Linked DNA regions of Caenorhabditis elegans. The protein of the gene in region 1 interacts with the protein of each later gene in a pairwise test. Each region holds a gene or a part of one and is shown in the gene's direction. Other genes may lie near its edges. The genes, in order: rtel-1 and mrpl-12.

The links.
Region 2: the proteins of rtel-1 (region 1) and mrpl-12 interact in a two-hybrid assay, tested with the Caenorhabditis elegans proteins (2 studies listed by BioGRID).

The regions. Positions count from the first base shown.
Region 1 is NC_003279.8:10,568,722-10,580,252, forward strand, and holds rtel-1 (Regulator of telomere elongation helicase 1 homolog), read left to right. Parts: upstream 1-3,307; 5' UTR 3,308-3,308; coding exon 3,309-3,694; intron 3,695-3,972; coding exon 3,973-4,115; intron 4,116-4,160; coding exon 4,161-4,248; intron 4,249-4,296; coding exon 4,297-4,726; intron 4,727-4,773; coding exon 4,774-5,034; intron 5,035-5,510; coding exon 5,511-5,719; intron 5,720-5,765; coding exon 5,766-6,126; intron 6,127-6,635; coding exon 6,636-6,824; intron 6,825-6,873; coding exon 6,874-7,122; intron 7,123-7,170; coding exon 7,171-7,389; intron 7,390-7,691; coding exon 7,692-7,865; intron 7,866-7,913; coding exon 7,914-7,982; intron 7,983-8,032; coding exon 8,033-8,162; intron 8,163-8,216; coding exon 8,217-8,293; 3' UTR 8,294-8,414; downstream 8,415-11,531. Other genes in the region: rplp-0 (Large ribosomal subunit protein uL10), read left to right, coding at 1-242; tct-1 (Translationally-controlled tumor protein homolog), read left to right, coding at 413-440, 696-1,213; F25H2.12 (Methyltransferase domain-containing protein), read left to right, coding at 1,362-1,496, 1,536-1,721, 1,768-1,897, 1,944-2,050, 2,105-2,446, 2,494-2,619, 2,664-2,759, 2,814-2,906 and 1 more; F29C6.1 (TCTP domain-containing protein), read left to right, coding at 10,698-10,871, 11,184-11,364. UniProt on the Caenorhabditis elegans protein: A probable ATP-dependent DNA helicase implicated in DNA repair and the maintenance of genomic stability. Acts as an anti-recombinase to counteract toxic recombination and limit crossover during meiosis.
Region 2 is NC_003281.10:10,704,379-10,711,774, forward strand, and holds mrpl-12 (Mitochondrial Ribosomal Protein, Large), read left to right. Parts: upstream 1-3,382; 5' UTR 3,383-3,388; coding exon 3,389-3,458; intron 3,459-3,506; coding exon 3,507-3,707; intron 3,708-3,765; coding exon 3,766-4,016; 3' UTR 4,017-4,143; downstream 4,144-7,396. Other genes in the region: Y39A1A.21 (ATP synthase subunit C lysine N-methyltransferase), read right to left, coding at 2,192-2,425; Y39A1A.22 (Xenotropic and polytropic retrovirus receptor 1 homolog), read right to left, coding at 1-927, 1,527-2,162; W09D10.5 (N-acetylgalactosaminide beta-1,3-galactosyltransferase), read right to left, coding at 4,235-4,272, 4,316-4,590, 5,188-5,292, 5,575-5,785, 5,847-5,958, 6,009-6,076, 6,131-6,243, 6,976-7,019.

The DNA.
Region 1 (11,531 bases):
CTCTCGCTTCCGTCGCCCACTCTTTGGCCAACGGACTTCAAAACATGTTGGGAGTTGCTGCCGTCACCGATGTCTCCTTCAAGGAGGCCGAGACCATCAAGGCCTTCATTGCCGACCCAAGCAAGTTCGCTGCTGCTGCTCCAGCTGCCGCCGCTGCCCCAGCTGCTGCTGCTCCAGCCGCCAAGAAGGAAGAGCCAAAGGAGGAATCCGACGACGACATGGGATTCGGTCTCTTCGACTAAATCCACAAGTTGTTCTGAATTTGTTGTTAATGAAATGTTATCTCCAAAAAAAGCGTTTTTAATTACTTTTCTTTGTGGTGTTATCGAACACTTAACTATATCTCTATTTTTTTGTTTCTTGTTTGAATTTTTAATCTCGTAATTTCAGTTACTGGCCCCATCCTTCAAAAATGCTGATCTACAAGGATATTTTCACCGGTAAGATTTCTTTTTCTGAAGAAGTTTTCCACACTCCTTAAGCTAGTTTGACTGTGATTGTGCATTTTAGATCGCTTCATGAGTTCGCTGCGTTTTGCTGTGAATTCATTGTTGCCCTAATTTGTATAGTCATGGGTGTCAAATTGGCGAGTTACGTGTGGTAAATGGATGACGATCAAATTTTGTTCTGTGAACTTTGCCGTAGATGTGATGCTGTTTGTTTATAGATTGATAATGATTGTCGAACAATTTCAGATGATGAGCTCTCGTCCGACTCCTTCCCAATGAAGTTGGTTGATGATCTTGTTTACGAATTCAAGGGAAAGCACGTTGTCCGCAAGGAAGGAGAGATCGTTTTGGCTGGATCCAACCCATCTGCTGAGGAAGGAGCCGAGGATGATGGATCTGACGAGCACGTCGAGCGTGGTATCGATATTGTCCTTAACCACAAGCTCGTTGAGATGAACTGCTACGAGGATGCCAGTATGTTCAAGGCATACATCAAGAAATTCATGAAGAACGTCATCGACCACATGGAGAAGAACAACCGTGATAAGGCTGATGTCGATGCCTTCAAGAAGAAGATTCAAGGATGGGTTGTCAGCCTTCTCGCCAAGGATCGCTTCAAGAACCTCGCCTTCTTCATTGGAGAGAGAGCCGCTGAGGGAGCTGAGAACGGTCAAGTCGCCATCATCGAGTACAGAGATGTTGATGGAACCGAAGTTCCAACCCTTATGCTTGTCAAGGAAGCCATCATCGAGGAGAAGTGCTAAACTTCACTGTTAAATCATTTAATGTTTTCAATGAACTATATATACTCCCCTATCACATATCGATTGCAACAAAAACATAAATTATTGTCTCTAGTACCTTGGTTAGAATGGTTTGGAACAAAAAATGTAATTTTGTAACTTGAGTTTCATGGAAAGTTCCAAATTCGATGAAGTTGTCTCGAAGTATCGGAGGATCTTGAATAGTCGTAGCATCGAATACTTTGCTTCGTCGTCTTGGGATTTGCTTGAAGATGAATGGAGAGAGTACCTGAATCTAGAATCGGTTAGAACAAAAATGTATCTAATCTAAAATTATATTCAGCTTGAAGACGTCATAGTCTTCGTAAATTCATCGGATAATCTTGTGTCAGCTGATTGCGCCTCTATTCCACATTCTCTGAGAGACTTGAAAGCAAATCTTAAACTTTTCGAATACAATAGGAAATGTGTGGAAAATCCTTCAGATCTTTGGCGTCAATGGACAGGAACCACAAGAGATGGGTTAAATGTAGTTATAATCTTGAAATTTTAAAATATAAAATTAACAATTTCAGGCATCTTTCCGTACAATATCGTCGGCGAATGGATTGGTAAGGAAGAGGATTAAAGCGAAGAAACAACACGAAATTGATAGAATTGTGGAATTAATCTCACAAATTCAAATATTCCAGAAAGATTCGGCAGGTATTCAAAATAATAAACTTTTCGAATCAGTTGTCGAATTTTGCAGATCCCATAGACAGTCTGGTGGATATTGGTGCTGGAATTGGACATTTATCACGTATGATCTCAATTCATAATAATATATCGGTTATGGCTGTGGAAGGAAACCAACAGGTGCGTCAAAATCACAAATATTTGAACATAAATCCAAAAAAAAACTCGTTTCAGTTCACATTGGCTGCAAACTCGCTCGATGAGAAATTACTTCTGGATTCTGCAAAAATCGGATCTCGCATTGAAAATTTCAACGTCAAATCAACACCAATTCGATACACCAATTTTGTAACCGAAGATCTTGCTTTGAAAATCGATGATTTTGCTGTAAACTCTGCAATTTTGGTCGGTCTCCATTGTTGTGGAGATTTTTCGTCGACAATTCTCAAAGTTTTTCAAAAAAGTGAAAAATCGAAAGCCCTAGTGCTTTTTGGATGTTGTTACCACAAAGAATTTCAATGCTTTCATTTTTTACGACCAGAAAATAATGAAAATGAACGAGAGATTTCTGAAAATGTAGGTTTTAAAAAATTATTTAAAAAATAATTTCAGTTAATTTGCAGACGTCTTTTGGAAAGTCAACAGTTTTTCCATTGAGCAAGAAATGGGAAAACGTCGAAATAGACTATTTACTTCGAGAAGCAGCTTGCCACAACAACGAGAATCTTGAGGAACGATTTCTGAAACAGGTATAAATTAATAATTATTTCTTATCACAAATTTCTATTTTTAGAAGATTGATCTTTCACGATATGCTCGATCATATCTGGAAAAATGGATTTGGAAAGTTTCCGAGTTGCCAGAAGATCGGAATATCGGGATGTGTTCGGTAGGCCCGATAGTTTAGAAATTTAGCTATTAAATTCAATTTTTCTCATTTCAGGTAAAATGTATTGAGAATCAGACAACGTTTGAAGAATATATTCGAAAAGCTATGGCAAACCGGGGAAATCATTTACTGGATAAAGTTTTGCAGGTTAATATTAAATATTTTTTTAACATAAATTACTAAACTTCTATCTAATTTCCAGATAATTCCACAATCTGAACTATCCGCTCATGTCTCTTCTCTCCGAAGCTCTCAGTTCGATTCGTTTGAAGTTCTCCGATGCATGTTTGCTCCAGCGATTGAGTCAGCAATTATCGACGATCGAGTGGAATTGTTAAGGGAAAATGGAATAAATTCTAGAGTTGTTCCACTCTTTGAACCTTCTATTTCACCTAGAAATCTTGCCATCATTGCTTATAAATAAACATACTTTTGCAAATTTGAGTTTATCCTGTGTGGTGTGTGATTAACATTTTTGGTTTTATAATCCACGATTTTCTGTTTGTTTTTTGTTGTTGCCAGGTAAAATCTCGGCTAACACATTTCAGTATGCCGCCGAAAGCTTCAAATTCAACGGAAGTTTGGATTAACCCGAAGTTAAGTGTAAAATTCCCATTTGAACCATACGAATGTCAGAGGATCTTCATGAAGAACGTTGTCGATGTACTGGATAGAAAACTAGACGCAGCACTTGAAAGTCCCACGGGTACCGGAAAAACGCTGTCTCTTCTCTGTTCGACGCTCGCATGGGTTCAACGTCAAAAAGAGACGAAGCCGCTGGATTTTGCCACGTGGCAGACGTCAGGAGCCGGTGGAGCAGAAAAAACTGATGAGAAATTGAAGAGTGCATACGTTCCGACGATATTTTATGCATCAAGAACACATTCACAGTTGGAACAAGTTGTTCATGAATTGAATAGAACTGAATATAAATGGTATGGGTTTGTGAGAAATTGCGATTATGTCACGGAAAAATAAATTAAAATTTTCGAAATTTTCTCCAATTTAATCATATTCCACAGAAAAATAAGAGAAAGTTATTTTTTTTCTATCCAACTAGTTAACTGCAGGTTCTTAACGCTTTATTTTGGCTAATTTAACATTACTTTATGGAAAACCTTGGCTTTTTCTGAAAAGTTTTGCGATTTTCTGTAATAAATTCCCAATATTTTTTTTAAATATTTCGCTTTTATTTCTCTATTTTAATTTCCAGGGTCAAAACCACAATTCTAGGATCCCGTGAACACTTCTGCATCAATCAAAAAGTCAAGAAAATCAAAGAATCCAATCGACAGGCTCATGTTTGTCGTGGATTGGTCTCGAAGCGAGCATGTCATTATTATAATAAATTTGACGGTACGGCTGAGTCCTGAAATTGCCAGCAAAAAAAATTATTTCCAGCGTGCACCACAGACAAAATGACAGAATTTTTGGATAAAGGCGAAGCAATGGATATTGAAGATTTCGTGAAACTTGGAACTCAAAATTCGTAATTTTTCGCATTAAAACCTATCAAAAACCATTAAAATAATTTCAGATTATGCCCATATTTCATGTCTCGGCAACGTTCTGAAACTGCTGAACTCATTCTTCTTCCCTACAACTACATTATCGATCCAAAAATGAGACGAAGATACAAGCTGGACCTGAAAAATTCAATTGTGATCTTCGATGAGGCTCATAATCTAGAATCAATTTGCGAATCCAATGCATCTGCTGAGCTCACTTCCACGTCAATTGCTCTTTGTATTGAAGAGCTGAAAAAGGTTCTGGCGTTGTTGGTAGATGAAGAAGAGACTGCAAGAAGTGAAGCAGATGCTGAAACTGGAGCATTCGGAAGTGCAAAAATTGATTTAACAAAGAAATTGATTGAGAATTTGAGAACTGAAGATTTGATGACAGTTTTAGAGAAAATATTTTCATTGGAAGAAGAAATGGATAAATTATTTGGATCATCTCAATTAAAAGTTAGAATATTTGAAAATAATTCCCTAAATCATTTTTTCTTTTTCAGTCTGTACCACCATTGAGTGGAAAAGCAAGTGACGGTGAAATTCTTCTTGAAACTCTTGCAAAAGCTGGATTCGATGCAAATTCTGTTGAACGGCTTGTTGATGTTCTTCGAGATGCCATTTCTTATCTTTTGTCTAAAAATGAAGAAGTCGCTCTAACCGAAAAAGGAGATGGAATGGAAAAAGTGGCGGATTTCTTGTTGTCCATCTATTCGACACACGCTCAAGATGTTGCTGCTGCTGTTGGCGAGGAAACTGTTAAAGTTAGATTTTTTCACCGAAAAAATTAAAAAAAAATCTACGGCTAACTGAACACGCACCAGCCCCAAAAATATGTCTCTCGTTAGGAATTTCACGGAAAAATTCAAATTTTGTCAATTAATTTGGCCATTTCGCTGATTTTCAAGCGTTTTTCGTTTTTCAATGATTTTTATCCAAAATGATATTCCAAAAATATATGTGAAGTTGAAAAGTGAATAAGGTTTCATTCCAATAGTTTGACGAAAAAATCATCGTTACAGTAACCCACATCTCGGTTTTTAAAATTTTTCTTCAAGCTTTCAATTTTTTTAAAATTTCGCTTGAGCTCTCAATCGAATTTTGAGTTGATTTTAATATTAAATTTAATTTATTTTTAAGAAAAAAATTCGAGAAAAATCGATGCCTCTGAAAATTACTGTAGTTCTTAAAGGCGCATGCCTTTTTTGCGCGGCCCTGAATCTAAATTATTAATTTTCAGCTAGTTGATCGAGTTGATCCAAAAACTGTGGCTAGAAATTGCAAATTGTATATTCAAAAGGATAAGGACAATGAGAAGCTTACAATCAAATATTTCTGTTTCCAAGCTTCAATCTCGATGAGAATGCTCAAAATGCGAGGAGTTCGAAATGTTCTTCTGGCCAGTGGAACCCTTTCACCAATACAGGCGTTCACTTATAATATGGGATTGTACGTCTACAGAATTGGTAAATTCAAAAATCGTTCTATTTTTCAGGAATTTCGGTGCAATTCTTGAGAATGAGCATGCTCTGAAGCAAGTTCCAGTTTTAACTTCAATTGTGACACGTGGAAAACGAGGAGGACTCGCCGGTTCATTCCAAAATCGAAAAAATCTGGATTACGTGACAGGTGTAGCAGAAGCATTGTTACGTGTCATGGAAGTTATTCCGCAAGGAATTCTCATTTTCTTCTCATCATATTCTCAAATGGATGAACTTGTTGCGACGTGGAAAACGACGAAATGGTCGAGTAATTCGAATGAATCGTTTTGGGAAAAAATGGAGAAGACGAAGAGAGTTGTGGTAGAACCAAGAGCTAAAGAAGAACTAGCTGCTATTCGTCTGAGATATACACAAGTTCGTAAAGTTTTGAAAATCGTCACGAGGAAAATGAGCAGTGGAATCAAGGCGGTTGTCGAAAAGATGCCGTTTTTTTAGTGAAAAAACGAAAATCAAAAAATCAAAAAACAAAAGATTTTTCGTTAAAAAATCCAACTTTTTGCCCAAAAAAAAACCAATTTAAAAAATTATTATCCAAGCGCGAAATTTTGTTATCTTTGCCCGAAAAATGCGATACCGGGTCTCGCCACGACTACTTTTTAACGAAAAAAGATGTGCGCCTTTATAGAGTATTAGTACTGTAACTTTAGATTATGTGTAATTTTCATCGTTTTTCATCGTTTTTTCTTAAAAAAATTAAACAAAGCTTATAAATTTTTAATCCAAAACCTCAAAAATCGTTTTCAAAAATGAACGCTCACTTGTTCTCGAGGAGTACACAATCAGCGTAAATCGACACTTGATAGTGTTAGAGGTTCCACTTCCCAATATGAAGTAGTTGTGAAAAATTTTAAAAATATTTACAGGGCGTCTCTGAACAACACGGCGCTGCTCTATTAGCAGTTTGTCGTGGAAAAGTATCAGAAGGAATCGATTTTTGTGATGCCGAATCAAGAGCCGTCATTATTATTGGAATCCCATATCCACCGATTCATGATGAGAGAGTTGTTTTGAAGAAAATGTATTTGGACGATCTGATGGGCAGAAAAGACACGGTTTTGTGAAGATATTTTAAAAGTTAAAATAATAAAACTGGGTTTTCAGAAATCTGAACGTCAATCGTCTCAAGATTGGTATCAAATGGAAGCGTTTAGAGCTGTAAATCAAGCAATCGGCCGAGTTCTTCGTCATAAGGATGATTTTGGAACTGTTGTTCTGATGGATACACGTTATGCTTCAGCAAAACCTGAAATGTTTCCGAAATGGCTCAGAAATACGATTTCTCGGAGTGACACTGATGGGTGCGCTCTCAAGACATCACGATTTTTCAAAGAAAGAGGACATTTGATTGAGGTTTTTATTTCAAAAAAAGGCGTTCAATATTAAATCATAAAATTTTAGAATTCGAAGACCGAATACATAAAAAAGCAGGCAAAACAGTGCAAATCGTTCCGACAAGTGAAGCAAACAGCTGCATCAGATTCCAAAGATGATATTATTGAAATCACATTAGAAGATATGTTCTCGCCTGCAAATATGAAATTGGAAAAGAAAGAAATCACTAAATTACGTCCTCCACAATTGATACCTTCAACTTCTTCAGTTTTCAGCCTACCAACGGTACGGGCTTCCAAACGTAAAAAGAAGTTATTACACATTTGCCATTTTTGAGCTGAAAAAAAAGTTTCGAAACCGGATACCGTATTTTTGGCACAAAAATCGTTGGCTTTCTACAGTAATTACATTTGTTTTCACTGAAAATAATATAGATAAAATCTAGATCGGTGATTTAAAATTTTAATACAAAAAGAATCAGCGGAAATAATGCAAAATAGATTTTGCAAAATCAGAAATCCACTGAAAAAAACACTTCTCCTCGAGGAGTACACGCTCTGATTTTTTACACATGATTTTTTTTTCAGAACGAAGATGAGCTGAAAATCAAAAAATGGGAGCAAGAAAACGATATTCAATGCTTATCTTCAATACCCCTTGAATCTAATAAACGAAAGTTTAAAATTGAAACACCAGGGCCATCGACATCTACGCTGACACAGAAAAGTGAACCACCAAAAAAGAAGAAAATTCTGCTTTTGGTAATTATTTTCAGCATAAATTTCCACTAACATACAGTGAAATTTCAGACACGAAATACTCTACCTGATGAATATCAAAAAGCAATTGAAATTCCAACTTCTGAACTTTTGAAAGATGTATGTCAGCTGCCTACCTTATAAAAGTGAAATAATCCAATTATTTCCAGATGTCTGACGACAATAAAAAGCAATTTGCCACCACACTCAGAAGCTACAAAGCTGAAAGTATCAGATGGGATGAAGTTTTTCAAAGATTTCGGCCAATTTTTGTTCCGCACAAGGCTGATTTGTTTATTGGTTTGTTAGAATTCAAATTTTTATTTCAACAAAAAAATACAATTAATTTTCCAGCTTGCTCCAACGTTCTCCGATCGGAAGACAAAATGAAATATCTGAAAAAGGCGCTTGAATCGAAGATCCACACATAATTTTCATTTATTTTTTTTTCTCTCGTAACATTTCCTAACTCTCTAGATCCTTTTACATGTAAAACATTATTGACCGGTGTTTAATTTTTAAATTTGTTCCCTAAATAAATGCGATCTCATGGTCACTTCCCATCACCCCAAGAAAACCATTTTCATAATTCTCACGTAATCTGCCTCGAAACCACATGTAGCTGCTCAGCAGCCACATCTCGATGTTCGATCTTCCTTGATAATTTCAACGACAAATCAGTTATCAACAATTAAATAACCGGTTTTTGGGGCCACGAGACAATTGTGAATAGATGAGAGAAATGATAGAGGGATGGGCTTTAGATTACAGTTATATGATGAAAAACTTCGTATTTCTCGTTTTGGTTTTCAAATTCCTGCAGTTTTCATCGTTTCACTTCTAGATTTTTAACGGTTCAAATTTTCTATTTTTGTTAATGAGATTTCTTATTATTACCACAATATTATGCATAATCGATGTGCAATCGTGCTCCAACGCCAATTGAAAACACCCCTCCCCTAAACGTTGGGTCTCGTTAGGTATAGGAAGGAAAATCCTGATTTTCTTAAATTTCCGTAATTTCCGTTTTGTATTTCGTATTTTTCTTCTGTTAAATATAATAATTTTTATGTAAAAATAAGGTAGTCCAAAAAATTGAAAAATCCACGTAGATTACACGAGCTGCGTAAATTGGCATAAAGTCTTGTTAAGACTATTCAAGGTGTTTGGTAGTTTTAATATCTTAAGACTGTATTTATCAATTTAAAACAAAGATCAGAAATTTTTGTGTGTAAAATTGGAATGATTTGATAATCGATAAAAAAGTGCGTATTATGACCGTTAAATGACGTTTGTATTTAAAATAAACATAAGAAAAATATTCTGTCTAAAGGCGGTAGGCAGACCGCAGAGTTAATTTGAAGACTTGCCTGTTCAATTTTACCCAAAAAATATAACATCTGAATGAATCCAAAAGAATGTTTCACATATTTTATCGTATCCTTTTGTTTAACTATTTATCGATTGGCTGATAGAATTTGTGGTAATCATTATATACTAGTACAGTAATCCAATTGTATCGTTTTTAACATGTTTTCTAGTGTCTAATTTTTATAAAATTAAATACGATAAAAATAACTTTGAACAACATAATTTCCTGTATTAGCTGAATTTTTAATCGCCAACATAACATCCAAGAAAGGGGCGGAGACTTGAAAATTAGATGAAACGATTATGTTTCGAATTGTTCGAAATCGTTATTTTGGCTGCACTTTGTCTGATGCTAGGAAATGAAACATTATGAAATAAGAATAGAACATTTTGATTTACCTAGCACTTACTTGAGAATAGTTCAAAGATGAGGAAGATAACGAGTTTTAGATTTTTGAAAACAAAAAACTATGGGATCATTACTCATTTGATAGTGAAATTGTTTTTAATCAACTATTCCTTGTTTAAAATTACGATAATGTTTGGTATAAAATTTGTTTTCAGTAAATTGCCAAACTTTTCATAATGTTCAGATGCAAATTTTTTTCTCGTTAAAGTTCCCTAAAAATATAAAATTAAAATCAAAACATAATTAGAATATGCTTAGAATATAAAAAATCTTGGGAATTTTTTTGTTTTAGGTGGACTTCCAAAATTCTGGATAAAATTATAACCTAAATACTTATTATAATACAAAATGACCAAATATATCATAAGAAATGACTCCAAAACCTTTTTAGCTTACTGAAAGTATCCAGTGAAAGTTTTGGTAAATTGCAAATTTTTGAAAATTATGGGTTTCTCAAGAAATTCAGAGCAATATCGAATGTTCCACTTCTAAAGTAGACAAAAAATAAGTGAGAGGTATTAGGTGTAAGTAATATCATCTTTTTGACTGAAAATAAAAAATTTCAAAAAAGGTTTTGAAAATTTTTTACTATGCTATTTCAGAATTTCAGCTCTACCTTCAACATCTTACTTAATTTTTTCCTTTCCTTAATCTAAAAATGTTCCGACACAAATTCTGGATTGTACGTGATAGATTGAAAATGTGTTGGATCTTTTGAATGTCTGCGATTCCATTTTCCTTTTTTCAATTCAAATTTTCTCGTTTGTTTTTCTTGTTCTAATTCATTTCTAATCTTTCAACGGCAATCAACAATGCTTGATTCATTTCAATTTCTCTTTTCGTTTATACACCATTGTCTACATTATTTTTTGATCATGATCTATTGATGGATTGGATTTTTATTATTTTTTCTTCCATTAATTATTTTAGTTTCTTGAAAAAATTTTAAAACTTTCAAATAATTTTAAATTGATTTATGACTATTAACAGTCCGTTTATAATTTTATCTAATGATCTTTGATCTTTTGATCTTCAAATCCTGATTCCAGATCAAAATGGTCACATTCAAAGATCACATCACAGGAGATATTTTGATGGAAGCTGAAAATGGAGCATTCGAGTTTGCTGAAGAACTTTTTTTCAAATTCAAAGGAAACTACATCGATGTTAAAGTTTCAAACGGGGAGACCAAAAAAACTGTGGATCTTTTGCAGAAATATCAGATGAAAGTTCGTTTAATTTTTGAATTCGAATTTTAAAATAAATCGAATTTTTAAATATTTTGAAAAAAAAAGCGGGCCCCGTGCGAATTTGAAATTAGTTTCTGTAAGGAAAGTTGAGTTAATTTTAAACACAAATTAGAAAAACCAAGTATTTTCTATTCATCACTTTTGGTTGCCTAGGCTCGAGTTAAAAGTTTCAATTTCTCATATAACCAACGTAGGCAACATAGGCACATACGACTGAACTTGTGCCTTTTGATTTTTTGATTATTGCGAGTTATTTTTGATGTTAGACATAGTTTACTATTTTAATTCCAGAAATTCGACATGTGGGGCGTCGAAAAGGATATCTTTGATTTCGGACAGAAACTTGGAGAACTAGTGGAAACGAAGATGTATGGGGATAATGCAGATTTCACATATATGGTTGATTATATTTTCAACTTGAGAGCATGGTTTAAAGCCAACCGTGAGACAAAAGACATTAAAGTTTATATGGGTGAGTTGTATGATTTGTTTTTTTATTTTGGAATTCACGGATATATTGAATTGCTGCGAAACCTGAATTGTAGCCTATAAAGATCTCCTCCTATTAATTTTTTCAAAGTTTTTTTTTCATTAAAGTTGAATGGTAAAGTATGGAAAAATATTTTCTTTCTAAAAAAT
Region 2 (7,396 bases), on another chromosome or scaffold:
GTAGAAAAAGATCGAAGTGGTGTTAGGATCCGTAGCCTCGTAGTACTTGTTCAGGGCTCCACAGGCAACTACAAAGAAGGTCGTGGAATACTTTCCAGCATTCACTAAATGTGGATGTACTCGTTTTGTATCTCTATAACGTCTGAGGCACTGCAGAAAACGGATCATTGCCGGAATTATCGACATGAGGGACCGAAGACCTGCGGCAGAAGCACATTGATCCTTTCCATTCGACAACTCGACACTTCCCCAGGGAACCGATCCAGTGGTAGAGTTGATTCCCTTCACTTCAATCCACCCATTCGAGTAGTCAACTTCTGTAGCGTAAAAGCACACAAAGTACTGAAAGTCTAGGAATGCGGTGGTCAGTGAGTTCATTTGATCTCCAAGCCAGAAATCGGTGAATGTGACGAAATGGAATGGTGATGTGAAGCACTTGTAGCAATGTTTCAGAAGCCAGAATCGAGAATTTCTGTGGAATACCGAGTCGGGTTTGGCGATTGGATTCAGAAGAAGAATCAGACAAACCACCATTAGTGCTAATGGAGGTGCGAATGGTGGAATATGGAGCATATGAGCATATAGATAGGCGAGAACTGCAAAAGACCACAGCATAATCATAAAGGATGCGATTTGCATCAGAGTTTGATATGAGAGATGATTCCTGGGATCTACTTCAAAGATCAGAACGTGATTGACTCCAGCAGCAGCCCAACCAGCCATATTCACACCACAAAGGAAGATTGATAGGAAGAGAAGTAGTGGTCCTCGGAATAAACGAACGGCTACCCATTTTGGTTCTTGAGGTCGTGCTGGGGAGGCGATCCATGTTAGAAGTATTGCAAGGAGCAGGATGATGCTCGCACCGATGAAGAGGCCCAGGGAGAAGGTGGTGAGAGGCTTCTGCTTCTCCGAGAGTGGTGGTACCTGGAAAATTCGATTTTTTCTTCATTCCGGTTTTTTTTTAAATTTTATTTTAGTTTCTAAGTAAATTTTTTATTTGAAATTCACATTTTTTAAAGAAATTTTTATTCGGAAAAAACTGAATATTTTTTTATTTTATTTTTAATTTTTGAAAGATTCGAGTGTTTTTCTCGAATTTTTCGATTTAAAAAAAATTAATTTCCTTACTATTTTAAAAATTTATTCGATTTTAGATCAAATATTGATAATTTTCTAGGTTTTCAATTTTTTTAAAAATTATTTCAACGATTTCAGTCAGGTTTTTGTATTTTCTTTTTTTTTTAAACAAAAATTGAAAATATCACAATTTTTCCCTGGAAATTTTTATTTTGATTAGAAATTTTTTTTTCAGAAAAAATTCATTTTATTGAAATTTTTTATTATTTATTTTCAAAAAAACTTAAAACTACTATTCAGCATTTTCTTAGATTTTTTTTCAAAAAATCTCCGAAAAAAAAAACTGAAAATCGCTCGAAAATTCAATTTTTCATTGGGTTTTCTAAAGTTAATTCTGTTTCGTATAAAATAATCAATTTTCCAATTTTTTCAGCGAAATTTCGAACCTTAAGCCTCTTCATTCCAGCTTGTCGATTTCCAGCCTCCAAATCATTAATTACACTGGTTTCCACATTTGTGATCAGAGTTTCAATTTCTCGATTCAAGAAAAACGACGATTTTTCCACTTTATTAATCCGCCAGTCGAGTCCTCGTTCGTTGCCAGTGAGCTTGTCGTGTTTCTTTAAAATCTTCCGAAATCCGGTAGCATTCAATTGCTGAAAGTTCTGAACCAGCACCAGAGAAAGATAAAACTCGGAGAATGCGAGTTTCAGCTGCTGCTCATTCCGTGTGGTCTCCTTATGGAATTTGTCTTTTCCTCCGAACCTTCTACGGATCCCTGTGGTATCGCTGCGAGACCCAAGAACATCCTTGAACACTTGTAGTTCGGTTTGAAGCTCGTGATGTTTTCCCTGTCCTTCAGCGATTTTTTGCGAGAAGAATAGGTTGATCTTGGTGAGCTCTTGGTCGCACTCGTTGAAAAATTTCTCGTCGAGCCGGGAAATGTGCTCTTCTCGGCGGTCATCGTCGGCGGGAACCTCCATCATATCATCGTATAATAGATTTTTGAGCCGCTCATAGTCAATGTATTGTTTCCGCCACTCGGGCGTCAAGTGGCTCGCTAGTTGCTCGCCGAACTTCATCTAAAATCGGGAAAATGGGAATAACTTACAACACGGCCATCGCCGGAGCCTAAATCAATGAGCGTTCCCTTCTTGTTGCTGTTGCTGCTCGTGGCGAGTGAAAGTGCGCGGGAGACGTTCGCGAGCTGCTCCGTCGTTGCTGGGACGTACGGAATGCAGACGCGTCGCAGAGCGGGCGCCACGAACGGAATTGCGGCCGCCGAGATGGCGAGCGCCGTTGCGCCAGCCACACCGGCAATCACCAGACCTGTGTTCATGCCCATACTGCAAAAAAACACAATCTCGAGGGGAACACTCATTGATTTAAATCATGATTTTTTATTTGTTTTAAAATTTATTATTTTTAAGTTTAAATTATCTTTATTTTTCAAAGGATTATTGTTTTTGAATATTTAAAATTAAAATTCATACCCACCTTTATTCTTCAATCGATTTTCTTCGGAATAAGATGAAGTTTCTCATCAACGATTCAAATTTTCTACCTGAAAACAGAAAAAAAATGTTTAAAACGATTTTCAGGCCTAAAACAGTGCAAAACACTGGAAATATATCGATTTACGCATAAATTGCACTCGACAGAATCAAAATTTAAATTCGTACTTTTCGCGAAAAAGAGATAGACAACGAAATTCGATAAGGGCACATGCGACTAAAAATCGGGAGCTCAGTGCACCGGAAGTGCGCAAGCAGTTGATGATTGCGCAAACGAGTGGCTACTGGCGCGTTTTCGGATGGGTCGGATTTATTTTCTGCAATTTCTGTGCGATTTTTATTAATTTTTTGCGTTTCCCACCGTATTTTCCAACCAAATTTCTGAATTTTTATATAAAATTGTCGTAATTTGCATGGTTCCGACGTTGAAAATCACCAAAACCCAGGTTAAAATTCGTTTTTTAAAAAGGGGGTTTACTTTATAAAGATATGCAATTTTGGAATTTCAGTTTTGCTAATTTTTCGTGGTTTCTTAGAGTTTTTCTATTGAAGATTGTTAAAGATCTTGTAAAGAAGATGTTAAGTCGGTAAACATTGCAAAACTTTTAATTTTCCTCAATTTTCGCTAATTTTTTGCGTTTCTTTATGATTTTTATTTTAAAATTAGGTTTTTCGGGTATCGATTTGTTAATTTTTTAGCTAAAAATATATTACATAAACAAAAGTTTCTTCAAACTTATATTTCTCTCTTATTCCGATTAAAAACTAAATTACCTTTCAACTTCCAGGTAAATATGTTGTCCAGAACACTCCGACCGATCTCCAAGGTGCTCAGAAGCAGCGCGAAGTACTCCCAGGCCGCAGGTAATCTGAAAATTAAGATTTTCCTCAAAATCATATCAAAATTTTCAGGTCTTCCATTAAACGAGGGAAGCCCGGCACCATTGCCATCAGAAGACAGAGCAATCTCCGCAAAAGTCAGCTCGTTGGTTGAAGAAATCGCGAATCTCAGCCTGCTCGACGTCTCCGATCTTAACTGGGCTCTCAAGAAGCGGCTCAACATTCCAGATCAACCATTGATGGCTGCTGCCGCTGCTGCTCCAGCCGCTCAGGGTAAACATTATTTATTATAGTTTAATAAAATTATTTATTTATTTTCATTATTTTTCAGCCGAAGCGGAAGCCGCATCAGACGTTCCACAAAAAATGACATTCACTGTGAAATTAACGAAATTCGATGATACCAAGAAGATCGCAATCATCAAGGAGATCCGTAACGCCATTCCAGGCCTCAATCTCGTTCAGGCCAAGAAGTTTGTGGAAACCGCACCGGTAAATGTTAAGGAGGATCTTGGAAAGGCAGAAGCCGATGAGTTGAAGGCTATTCTGGAGAAGGCTGGAGCTACCATTGAAATTGTTTAATTTTTTGTTCTATATTTCCCTCTTTTCATTTGTTGTGTTCTCATTTTCTTCAAATTTTTCGTAGATAGTGTAGCATTTCTTTTTGTTAAGTTTTATTTTATTTTATGGAAAAATAATTAATTTCAAAAATAATTAAATTTACACCCGGCAAGAAGAGAAATACACGTCCCATGATAGAAATACTATTGGATAGATTCTGGAGAAGCTGCTGGAGAAGATCAAAAATCGGTAGTCTCATTTGAAGAAGTGTCAAGACCTGCAATTTGGGAAAATTACCGGAAGCCTGTATGGGTACAAACCTCCGCGTCCGAATACTTTCAGCGACATTCCGAATTGAAGAACTCGCATATCCTTTTCGGATAATTGGCCGAACGAGATCGCGTGGTCGGAACATTTTCCGGCTTTTGTGGGACTTGAACGGAACAATTTCGAGTCTGGCGCAATTATTTGTTTTGGTGGAAGATCGTTGAATAGTCGGAGAGCATCTTCATCAAATGGATCAGCTATCTGGACACCGTACTTCTCGCTGCAGTCGTAGAGAGCGAAATCCGAGGCTCGCGAGAAGAAAAATCCTCTGAAAATCATGAAATCAAACATTTTTAGAATTTATTCGGGAGTTTTCCAGAAGTAATTCTCTGATTTTCGATTTTTTAGTCTTCAAAAACTTTCGGTAATTTTGCAAATTAAATTTGTTACACTGATGCAAAACTTTGCGATATTTGCCCCAGAATTACGGTACCCGGTCTTGATACGACATTTTTTTGCTAATGTTGAAAGGTCTGCGCCTTTAAAGATTAGTGAAATTTCAAACTTGTGCTGCTGTGGAGTTTTATCGCTTTTTCATTGTTTTCTGCTGATTTATTTTTTAAACATACATATTAACAATCGTGAGAAAAACTATGAAAATAAATGATTTTAATGAAAATTCCACGGAAACCAAAGTTTTCAATTACAGTACTCTTTAAAGGCGCACATATTTTCGCATATGACCAAAATTTGTCGTGTCGAGACCAGGTACCGTATTTTTAGCGCAATATTTCGCGACTCGAAAATCCAAGTAAATAGTATTTTATTAAAATTTGATACACAAGGTGTAGGGTTCCCAGAAATTTAATTATTTTTGCGCGTCAAATTCGCTGTATTGGGTACGTAGCACTAAAAAAAATCTTACTTGCAAGCAGAAAGCTTATCAATTGCTGGATTTGATAGCACAACTCCACCACGAACGGAAATCTTCTTGAAGCTGCTCAGCGGGAAGAGCCAAGAGAATAATGTGCTGGAAAATTGCTGGTTTTTTGGAAAAGCTCGGCCACTGATTTAAATATTACGGGAAAACTAAATTCTGGGAATGCATATTACGCAACACATTTGACGCGCAAAATATAAATATATCTCGCAGCGAAAACTACAGTAATTCATTAAATGACTACTGTAGCGCTTGTGTCGATTTACGGGCCCACTTACTGTAGTTTTCGCAATGAGATATATTTATATTTTGCGCGTCAAATATGTTGCGCAATACGCATTCTCAGATATTACGGGAACGCAAAATTCTAACCTAGTATCCTTCACTTTTCCAAGAACAACTGGTTTTTCAGAATCAAAATTTCTCAGAGTATTTCGAAGATTTGGAACTATCAAATAAGTCTGATCATCGCCCAAAAATGTCCATTGAGCCGGGACTTTTGACGAGAATTCCATTGCATATAAATAATATGTCCAGTAGAAATGGTTAAGGCTGGAATCCACGTGGTACATTGTATAGTTATCTGTAAATTTGAAATTTGAAATTAAAAAGTGCAACAGAGCGCGATTTCGGCCCCGACTCACTTTGAAATTTCTGAAACTTATCGAATAATTTCTGATTATTCGTGAAGAATATCGTCTCCTGACACAGTTTTGCGTACCCATCTGTGATTGCGGATATTATATTTTCTGGCTTCTGTAATACATCGAATTTCACGCACAAATTTTTAATTTTTGGCGACTTACGTGGGTAGCCTTGTGGAGAATGATAACACAACGGAGATTAAAGGATTCCGGTTTTGGTGTGGATTTTTCTGGAAAAGATGAAATTGAATCACAAATTTCAAATAAAAAATGTATATAGATACCATGTTCCATTAAATGAATATGTTTTGAAATATCGTTGTCTCCATCAAATATGAACAAAATACCTATCAGGTAGCCAAGTGAGACGCCCAGCGCCAAATGAATCACAACATCTCTGAAATTGACTTTTTCCCTTGAAACAATGTATGTGAACACAGTAGCAACACATGCCATTCTCTTCCGTACATTATTCTATAAATTTGCGCGTGAAATCTGGTGCATCGGCTCCGATGACGAGGCATATTTTGCCGGGAATTGCCGGAAATAAAATTGAGAGATGGTTTAATGTCATCAAAAGTGGTTTCACGCAATTTTCAAATGGGTTTTTTTTTCAGTTTGGAAAAATTGCGCGTCAGATATGTTGCATTGAGTCCGCAATTCAAAATTGTGCACACACCAACTTCATGCACTGTATTTTACGAAAAAAATTAGCAATTTAAGTTTAAAAATCTATTACGGGAATACAAAATTCTGAGAATACGTATTGTGCAACATATTTGACGCGCAAAATATCTCGTAGCGAAGACTACAGTATATATTTTAATGACTACTGTAGCGTTTGTGTCGATTTACGGGCTCGATCAGCGATATTCCATCTTTAAAAAAACTCGATCCAGTAAATCGACACTACAGTAGTCATTTATAGAAATACTGTAGTTTTCGCTACGAGATATTTTGCGCGCCAAGTATGTTGTGCAATACGCATTCCGAGAATTTTGTGTTCGTGTGATAGCGAAAATAATTTTAAATCACTTCTTCGGCACATAATTATATCAAAATGCATGGCAAATCACGAGGAGACCCAAATTTCGCTTTATTTTCCGCGAAACTCTTTGAAAACTGGTACCTGGGACTTCTGATCCGTGACTTGAAAATATTGATCGTCGTCATTTCCCCATATATCGGTCAAGAAATAAAAGGCAGGGAAAGTGTGTGTTCTCCCGAGAGAAGTGACTGTCTTTCTCTCTTTCTCAGTGATGTGTCTCCTTGTTTATTCGGAGACCGAGAAGAAGGAGAGATCGATTCGACTAGAAAATTTATTGTATACGGAAAAGATAGAGGAGAAAAAAATTGAGGGTGTGCGTGGGTTTTCAGGTGATAAAGAGCAAAAGTACTCCAAAATTAGGGGGAAATTACACTTTTTTTCGTATTTTTTTGGGTTTTTTTTTTGAAATTTAGTAGAAAGATGTTTCAAATTGGATTTTTTTCAGAAAAAAATTATTTAATGCTAAAGATATTATCAATTTTTTGCAAAAACTTTCAGGAAA